Linked DNA regions of Saccharomyces cerevisiae S288C. The main gene of each other region encodes a partner of the protein of the gene in region 2 in a complex. Each region holds a gene or a part of one and is shown on either strand. Other genes may lie near its edges. The genes, in order: TFG1 and TFG2. A codon is read from its position in the direction of its gene.

Region 1 (4,772 bases), 360 kb from region 2:
AAGGTTACTCAAAGATGAAAAAATAAACTTGTTGCCTTACATCCTGCTACCTATTGCTAGTGCTAAAGATTCTGAAATTGATGAGGAAGATATGTTCAATTTACCAGATGAACTTCAATTATTACCAGAGGACAAGGAAAGAGACCCGATTCCTGCAATTATATGCTGTCATTTAGAAAGTATTCTTTTGCTATGTACAACGCATGCTGGAAGAGAATACTTAAGAGACAAGTCCGTTTATCCACTAGTGAGGGAGCTGCATAAAAACGTTGAGAATGAAGATATTGGTGAATTATGTTACAGAATTGTTAATATGTTAATGAGAGGCGAGCCAGGTGCGGGAGCAGTGGAAGAGATGCCATCAAAGAATGCGGAAGAGGAAGAAGAGGAGGAGAGTGAAGAAGAAGAAGATGACGACGAAGAAGATGAAATTGTCGAAGTGGCCTAGGTCACTTTCAAGGACAGTTCACATAGCATAGAATTGTATAATACAGAAATAACAATATATTAGAGTTTAGTAGAATTCTGAGTCTTTTCTCAAAAAAAAGGCAGAAAAAAAGACTAGATAAAAAAGTATACTTACTGCAACTAAAATGACAGTATAATGTAACTACATAAGATTAAATGGAAAGAAAAAGGAAAGAATGAAAAGAACGAAAACTAAATAACCTATTAAGTACATAACATTATAAACTAACCTACTCTTTCTTTAATTCCATGTGGTCATTGCCAACCTTTCGACACAATTTTTTTACAATGGCAAACATTAGCTTTTTATTCTCTGCGCCAGGATATTTTCTTCTGATGAACTTTCCAAACTCTTTGATATTGACTTTGCCATCACCAATAGCCTCGATGATATCTTTTTCTGTTATTGTAGGCGCTGGAGTTTCTTCCCTTTCTGCCACTGTAGAATTCAAGCCTTCCTCTTGTTTGATTGGCGAAGGCACTGTATTCGATGCATTATTACTACTATCTACAGCTTTTGTCGTCTGTGGATTCCATTCTCCCTCTGGGAAGCTTTTCAGTATTTTCTTATCCCCCTTCAAGATAATGACACAGTTTTTAATACTTTTCACCCTCAAAGTTGGCTCTTTATGCACATGCGCATTTGTAGCTTTCTTTTGCTGTTTCTTTGGAGAAGATCTCTTGGATTTGGATAGAGTGTCCGAATCTTCTTCCTTTTTAACGGGCGATTCATTCTCTTTGTTTTCAATATCGGATTCAGATAAGTATGGGTTGATCTCATTTTCATCCGATGAGTATAGTGCTGCAAGTTCTGTCTTTTGTAATGCCTTCTTAATTCTTTCACCATCCTCATCAATCTTCTTTTCCCCAAATAACTCATCTTCTTCGTTTTCGGAAGGAGCTTCTTCATCACGAAGCCCCATCGCATTAGCTTGCAGCATCTCCTTCTTGATTCTTTGTTCTGATTCTTTATTTTCTTGTTCATTACCATCTATAATAGGTGCCTCCTCATCATCGGCAAACTCTTCATCATAATCTAACTCTACTTCTGAATTGTCATCACGATCATCTTCATCCATAGCTTGTTGATCAGCGACGGCTTTAAGCTTTCTTCTTGTTCTGTCATATCTAGTTGTAGTTGTACCTATATTATCCAAATGCTTCATCAACCAACGTGGCACTTCACCACTTTTTTTGTCCATTCTTTTTTCTGCTTCGTCAATGGTCAAAGTAGCATATTTATTTCTTGCGGTAAACTTATAAACCTTATCAGCAGGAATCATGGTAAAACTTCCATCATCTTCTACACTTAACAAGACATAAGAATCTGAGTTACCTGCTTCATAAGAACCCACCCATGTATTGTACCCATCAAAATCTTCCATAACCCATGGATAAAATTCCTCAAATCTCAGCTTTTTGGCGTTCTCATCAAGAACTTTTAATTGACGAGTTTTCCTTCTCAAATTTCCTCGTTTGGCCCTACCGCCTCCATCTGGTGCCACATCTGCTAGTGGATCCATAGTTCCTTCTTCAAATTCCGGTTCGTTAGTCACTTCTTTTCCGTCGTACTTGACCATTCCAACTTTAGTAGGGTCTTCAGCTGGGCCTGCATCCTCTAGTTTTGTCACTAACGGCCTTCCGTTAGCTAGATTCGCTGTAGATGCATTGCCATCCAAACCGTTAGCTGCACTAGTTGAACCATTTGACAGTCCATTACTTTCAACGGCGGATACAGTAGTAGGACTAGCAGGAGGGACAGAAGAGCCAGTTACAGTAGGAATGGAGGAGTTCACACCGTTGGCCGTGTTGTCTTTAGTAACTGAATCAACAGTAGGTGTCTGAGACCCATCTTTAACAGTATTATTGAGCGAGACCGTTCCTGATTTATTCATACCACCCGAGTTAGGAGTACTTCTTTCTTGCTCTGCTTTTTTTTTATACTCAGAAATTTCTTTTTGCCTTTGAACAATTTCTGCTCTTGTTAGCTGAAACTGCAAGTTTCTCGTATCCTTCCTATGCAGTCTTACGGGAAGATGGAAGTCTGTTACAGGGTTTATCTTTTTTTTACTCTGAAACTTCAAAAGATGTGTCCTCATGTTTTCTAAATCCTCCTTTGGAATAGCTCTTAAGGGAAATTCATTATATTCATTAGGATCTTCGTCCTTTACTTTAACATTGCTCCTGCCAGCATCGGCCTCGACACCGATTTGCAAAAGCATTTTCTCTCTCTCTTCAGCATACTCAGGATCATCCTTTTTGACAAGAGATCCCCTGCTGTTGTCTCCATTTGGTACGCCTGGGGAACTAGAATTGCTGCCGTTTTGACCCATTCTCATCCTCAGGAAATTTCTTCTCATTCTGTCTCTTTTAATGAAGGGAGAGGCATTCGTCGGACCTCCCCCGTTTCTACTGCCTGGTGGATTGCGTCTGGACATCCTTGCGCTTACTCGAATAGGCCTCCCTAGCTATTCTTCAACCTTTCGAACCATCCATACTTCTTACTATCATAATTTTTATTTTATCATGGAGGCGAGAAGGTCCTTATTCGAGCATCACTAAGAACGGAACTCGAACATTTACAAAGTAGAAAAATTTTATGAAAATTAATTGTTCTTTCTTCAGAATACAAATTAGTCATTGTCAAAAAGAGATTAGCATCCATAACCGCATACTCTAATTGACGATAACATGTCCTCTGCTGCCACGGTTGACCCTAATGAGGCGTTCGGTCTCATTACCAAGAACTTGCAAGAAGTCTTGAACCCACAAATCATCAAAGATGTTCTCGAAGTACAAAAGAGACATTTGAAATTATACTGGGGTACCGCGCCCACTGGAAGACCTCATTGTGGTTATTTTGTTCCTATGACCAAGCTTGCTGATTTCTTGAAAGCAGGTTGTGAAGTGACTGTTCTTTTAGCAGACTTGCACGCCTTTTTGGACAACATGAAGGCGCCATTGGAAGTGGTGAACTATAGGGCCAAATACTATGAATTGACCATCAAAGCTATCTTGAGAAGCATCAATGTTCCAATTGAAAAGCTAAAATTTGTTGTTGGCTCTTCTTACCAGCTAACTCCAGACTATACCATGGATATCTTTAGATTATCCAACATTGTTTCACAAAACGATGCTAAAAGGGCAGGCGCTGATGTTGTCAAGCAAGTCGCCAATCCATTATTGAGTGGGCTTATCTATCCTTTAATGCAAGCGTTGGACGAACAATTCTTAGATGTTGATTGCCAATTTGGTGGTGTCGACCAGAGAAAAATTTTTGTCTTAGCGGAAGAAAATTTACCAAGTTTGGGCTACAAGAAAAGAGCACATTTAATGAACCCTATGGTTCCAGGTTTGGCTCAAGGTGGTAAAATGTCTGCCTCTGATCCGAATTCAAAAATCGACCTTTTGGAAGAACCAAAGCAAGTTAAGAAAAAGATCAATAGTGCATTTTGTAGCCCCGGTAACGTCGAAGAGAATGGTTTACTGTCATTTGTCCAATATGTCATTGCACCAATCCAAGAATTGAAGTTTGGTACAAATCACTTCGAATTCTTCATTGATAGACCAGAAAAGTTCGGTGGTCCAATTACCTACAAATCCTTCGAAGAAATGAAATTGGCTTTTAAAGAAGAAAAATTGTCCCCACCTGATCTAAAAATTGGTGTTGCTGACGCTATCAACGAGCTATTGGAGCCAATCAGACAAGAATTTGCCAACAACAAGGAATTTCAAGAGGCCTCCGAAAAGGGTTATCCAGTTGCCACACCACAAAAGTCGAAAAAGGCTAAGAAACCAAAGAATAAGGGTACTAAGTACCCAGGCGCTACTAAGACCAACGAGATTGCCACGAAACTAGAGGAAACCAAATTGTAAGCATAGCTTAATCCGTTTTCACGATTCATAATATAATAAATAAGAAAAGATATATCATATAAACGTTATAAAATTAATAACCGGGTAAGTGTAGAAAAGTGATGCGACGGTTTATTTTCTCTTCCTCTTGCGATTGAATTTAACTTGCAGATAGTGACCATAAGGCAACTACCCAGTGGCAAACAGTTTTGATAACGCCCAGTACATCAACGAGCGAGTATAAAGACTTTGGTACATTTTAAAAAGGAAACATATATTGTTTTCATTGCTAGACCCTTTTAGTCTCACCTCAATAAAACTGCTTTATTCCTCATTGGGCTTTTTATTCTTTAATTTTGCATACTTATAGCGTGAAACTGGGCATTTAACAAAAGCAAACTATTTTAATAGTAGCATCCTGCTTTCTTTGCCCCTCCTTCTTATTGCGA
Region 2 (3,683 bases):
ACGATAAAGATTGGATGCTTGACCTAACAAATGATGGGATCATTCAACTTCCTGCTTCTGCTGCTAAGACAAAAGTTAAGCCAGGTGCAGATGAAGGTTTCATATATTATGATAACACCTGGAATAATCCCTCTGCAACGGACACATATAAAAAGTACACAAGAAGAAGGAGGTGGATCAGGACTGCAACAGTAACAACAACGTATGACGATGAGCCCACTGTAGAAAAAGCTACACCGAATTCTCATGCTCTGAAGAGTGAAGAAAATAATAGAGTTAGAAAAAGAAAAGTGTCATTTAGTACAGCAAATGAAGTGCATATCATACCTTCCTCGGACAGTAGCAAATTAATACAAATATCTGATGTTTCAATGTCTCCTTCTCTATAATGAGTGCATGCCCCATATGGACAACAACGTTCACACTGGTCGGTGCAAGGGCACACAGCAATCTCAGAGTTTCTTTCATTGGCTGCATGGAGCACAAATTCAATCTTGTGCTTTAAAGTATCTGCGCGGTTATGGCAAGTTCTCCATCAGTCTCTTATTCCAGCAAGCATTCTTTTACGGAACTTCAATGCATCTAAATACATATGTACAGATAGCCAAAACTAATAGAGACATAATAAATTAAACAAAACTGTAAATTTTAAAAAGAGTATATATAGGGCTCAAGAAACTGCGTAAATATAAAATTAATGAAGAAAATCTGATTGTCAACTAAACGACATCTTCCATTTCTATTTCATCTTCCAAGTCAGCCTCCGCGTCTCCTTGCGCATTGTCTCCAGCGGAACCTGTTTGCTCATCAGCTAGTTCACCTAAGGTTGCCTTTCTCTCCTCCTCTTTCAACTTTTTATACTCTGGCCTTAAAGTGTATTTGAATGCATATGGGCCCTTCTTCACTAGAGTGGCAACTTTATCCAAACACTCCTTTAAATGTGCTTCAGGTTGCCTAGTACGTTCCTTCAACCCCTTCAAGGACCAGTAGTCATACTCATCAAATAACTTGAACAAGTAATCCAAGATTTCCTTCTTTGGCATACGAATAGATTTAATATTGCTCTTGGCCTTCTCACGCCCCACTTTCAAGAAATTCGAGTTGTCTGACCTCATGGACATACCTGTGTGGCTCATCGTAACACCAACGGTTTCATCCAAAGTTGTGATCCTTTCCTTATTATTAAGCTTGACAATATTTCTTCTCTGTTCAACAATCTTGTGATAATTAGGATCATTCATTGATGGCATAACCTGACATTCGTGGCAAACTGTACCCACAATGGCGGTTTTTTTGGGAATCGTCTTCACATATGGTATATATCTATCTCTACCATCCCTATCTGTCATAACTCTGTGATTAAACTTTTTTCTATTATTTCTACGTTTTTGCTGCTGCTGCTTCTTCTTAAGTTCCTCTTCACGTTCTTGCTTCTTCAGGTAAGCTTGCCTTTGCTTTTCAGGATCTGCTTCCAACTCCTTTTTACGTTGTTGATATTTCTTTAAATTTTGTTCTGTGAAAACATATTCATTTTCTACTACTTTCTTTGTAAGTTCTAAATCATATTCGTGCGGTATAGAATCGTTATCATTTTCATTCAATAGAAGTGTGATTTTACTCCCATCCTTGTTTATCCTAATTTTACCCAGTTCTTGGCCATGCAAGTTGTTTCTGTCCCTCCATTTCTCTGCTAGAAACATGGGCAATCTAACTAACCAGACTTGTCTATTACTACGTTCCAAGTCCAAATCTAAGGATTCTTCATAAACTTTGGTTTCATTATTCTCAATATCATTACCGTCAAAAACTTCCTCCTCTTGCGAAAGATACTCATCACCGGAAATGTTACCTGATTTCTCCTTCGCGACAGAGTTCGTGGAATTATTAGAAAGTGCTGGTGCCCCTGCTGAACCACTGCTCATGGTGTTAAGTTGGTCTTCTATTTTACTCTTAATATTGCGTTATGCGTTGAAGCCAACAGCATATGTCTTATTCTTCTAATTTCAAGCCTGATAATTTATTCATTTCGCGCAAGGGAAGATGAAAAAGTTAAGAAGAGAATCGACCTTTGGAAAGGGCCCCAATGGAAAGAACTTCAATGTTTTTTCCTCTACAAGTAATAAGAGCATAAAATGGACCTAGATCTAGCCAGTATCTTAAAAGGTGAAATTTCTAAGAAGAAGAAAGAGCTGGCCAACTCTAAAGGTGTTCAGCCACCATGCACTGAGAAATTCCAGCCACATGAATCCGCAAACATAGACGAAACACCGCGACAGGTAGAACAAGAAAGTACAGATGAAGAAAACCTGTCAGACAATCAGAGTGACGATATTAGGACCACCATTAGCAAATTAGAAAATCGGCCAGAAAGGATACAAGAAGCGATAGCTCAAGACAAAACCATCTCTGTAATCATTGATCCATCACAAATTGGTTCTACTGAAGGAAAACCTCTTTTGTCAATGAAATGTAATTTATATATTCACGAAATATTATCTCGTTGGAAGGCGTCTTTGGAAGCTTATCATCCGGAGCTGTTCTTAGACACTAAAAAAGCACTCTTTCCACTCCTACTGCAACTACGAAGGAACCAGCTTGCCCCGGATTTACTTATTTCCCTTGCGACCGTTCTCTATCATTTACAACAACCTAAAGAAATAAATTTAGCCGTTCAGTCCTATATGAAACTCAGTATCGGCAATGTGGCCTGGCCTATTGGTGTTACTAGCGTAGGCATTCATGCTCGTAGTGCACATTCGAAAATTCAAGGAGGCCGGAATGCTGCTAACATAATGATTGATGAAAGAACGCGATTATGGATTACCAGTATTAAAAGATTAATAACTTTTGAAGAATGGTATACCAGCAACCACGATAGCTTAGCCTAATTGTTGAACTATTGTTTTCGTTATCGCGTGGCACGATATCATGCGGCCAAAATAAGAAGCAAGAATGCAGATGTTGATAGCCTTTGTTCAATTTTCCAGAGACAAATGCTTTACAGGATCGGGACTTGAAATATACTGACTGGATGACGGTAAACTTAGATCCGGATAAAGTTTGGATAGACGGCTGCTTTGATTTCACACATCATGGGCATGCGGGAGCCATTTTGCAGGCTCGTCGAACAGTTTCAAAAGAAAATGGTAAACTATTCTGTGGTGTGCATACCGATGAAGATATTCAGCATAACAAAGGAACACCAGTAATGAACTCTTCAGAAAGATATGAGCATACTAGATCAAATAGGTGGTGTTCGGAAGTGGTTGAAGCGGCGCCATATGTTACAGATCCCAATTGGATGGATAAATATCAGTGCCAATATGTTGTTCATGGTGATGATATCACCATAGATGCTAATGGAGAAGACTGCTATAAGTTGGTGAAAGAGATGGGGCGCTTCAAGGTAGTTAAAAGAACATATGGCGTAAGTACTACCGAGATTATACATAGAATATTGACGAAAAAATCTTTGCCACCGACTCATCCTGATTATTATCCCACCACCCAGGAATTGAGTTTCTATTCTGTCGCCCAAGATGCCGTTTCAAAACATTGTTATGTCTTTCAGAGGGATTTGGACAATGTCTTGGTCAATGGTGGATACAAATTCGATGCAGAAGATTGTGTTTATGTTGACGGGGATTTTGACTTATTCCATATGGGGGATATTGATCAGTTAA

The links.
Region 1: the proteins of TFG2 (region 2) and TFG1 are in contact, whole or in part, in a cryo-EM structure (PDB 7UI9), measured with the Saccharomyces cerevisiae proteins. Residues at the interface, in NP_011519.3 of Saccharomyces cerevisiae: Leu57 (codon at 1,754), Asp58 (codon at 1,751), Leu59 (codon at 1,748), Leu61 (codon at 1,742), Arg66 (codon at 1,727), Gln67 (codon at 1,724), Val68 (codon at 1,721), Trp69 (codon at 1,718), Leu70 (codon at 1,715), Val71 (codon at 1,712), Arg72 (codon at 1,709), Leu73 (codon at 1,706), Met75 (codon at 1,700), Ala78 (codon at 1,691), Trp81 (codon at 1,682), Arg82 (codon at 1,679), Arg84 (codon at 1,673), Asn85 (codon at 1,670), Asn86 (codon at 1,667), Leu87 (codon at 1,664), His88 (codon at 1,661), Gly89 (codon at 1,658), Gln90 (codon at 1,655), Glu91 (codon at 1,652), Leu92 (codon at 1,649), Gly93 (codon at 1,646), Lys94 (codon at 1,643), Ile95 (codon at 1,640), Arg96 (codon at 1,637), Ile97 (codon at 1,634); in NP_011702.1 of Saccharomyces cerevisiae: Pro95 (codon at 2,624), Asn96 (codon at 2,621), Glu97 (codon at 2,618), Tyr98 (codon at 2,615), Asn99 (codon at 2,612), Glu100 (codon at 2,609), Phe101 (codon at 2,606), Pro102 (codon at 2,603), Leu103 (codon at 2,600), Arg104 (codon at 2,597), Ala105 (codon at 2,594), Ile106 (codon at 2,591), Pro107 (codon at 2,588), Lys108 (codon at 2,585), Glu109 (codon at 2,582), Leu111 (codon at 2,576), Asn113 (codon at 2,570), Met114 (codon at 2,567), Arg115 (codon at 2,564), Thr116 (codon at 2,561), His117 (codon at 2,558), Leu119 (codon at 2,552), Lys120 (codon at 2,549), Phe121 (codon at 2,546), Lys125 (codon at 2,534), Lys126 (codon at 2,531), Ile127 (codon at 2,528), Asn128 (codon at 2,525), Pro129 (codon at 2,522), Val130 (codon at 2,519).

What each region holds. Positions count from the first base shown.
Region 1 is NC_001139.9:865,908-870,679, reverse strand, and holds TFG1 (transcription factor IIF subunit TFG1), read right to left. Parts: upstream 2,907-4,772; coding exon 699-2,906; downstream 1-698. Other genes in the region: HGH1 (Hgh1p), read left to right, coding at 1-448; tyrosine--tRNA ligase TYS1, read left to right, coding at 3,160-4,344. UniProt on the Saccharomyces cerevisiae protein: TFIIF is a general transcription initiation factor that binds to RNA polymerase II.
Region 2 is NC_001139.9:503,938-507,620, forward strand, and holds TFG2 (transcription factor IIF subunit TFG2), read right to left. Parts: upstream 1,923-3,683; coding exon 720-1,922; downstream 1-719. Other genes in the region: PEX31 (peroxisome biogenesis protein), read left to right, coding at 1-389; mRNA splicing protein PRP18, read left to right, coding at 2,133-2,888; ECT1 (ethanolamine-phosphate cytidylyltransferase), read left to right, coding at 3,032-3,683. UniProt on the Saccharomyces cerevisiae protein: TFIIF is a general transcription initiation factor that binds to RNA polymerase II.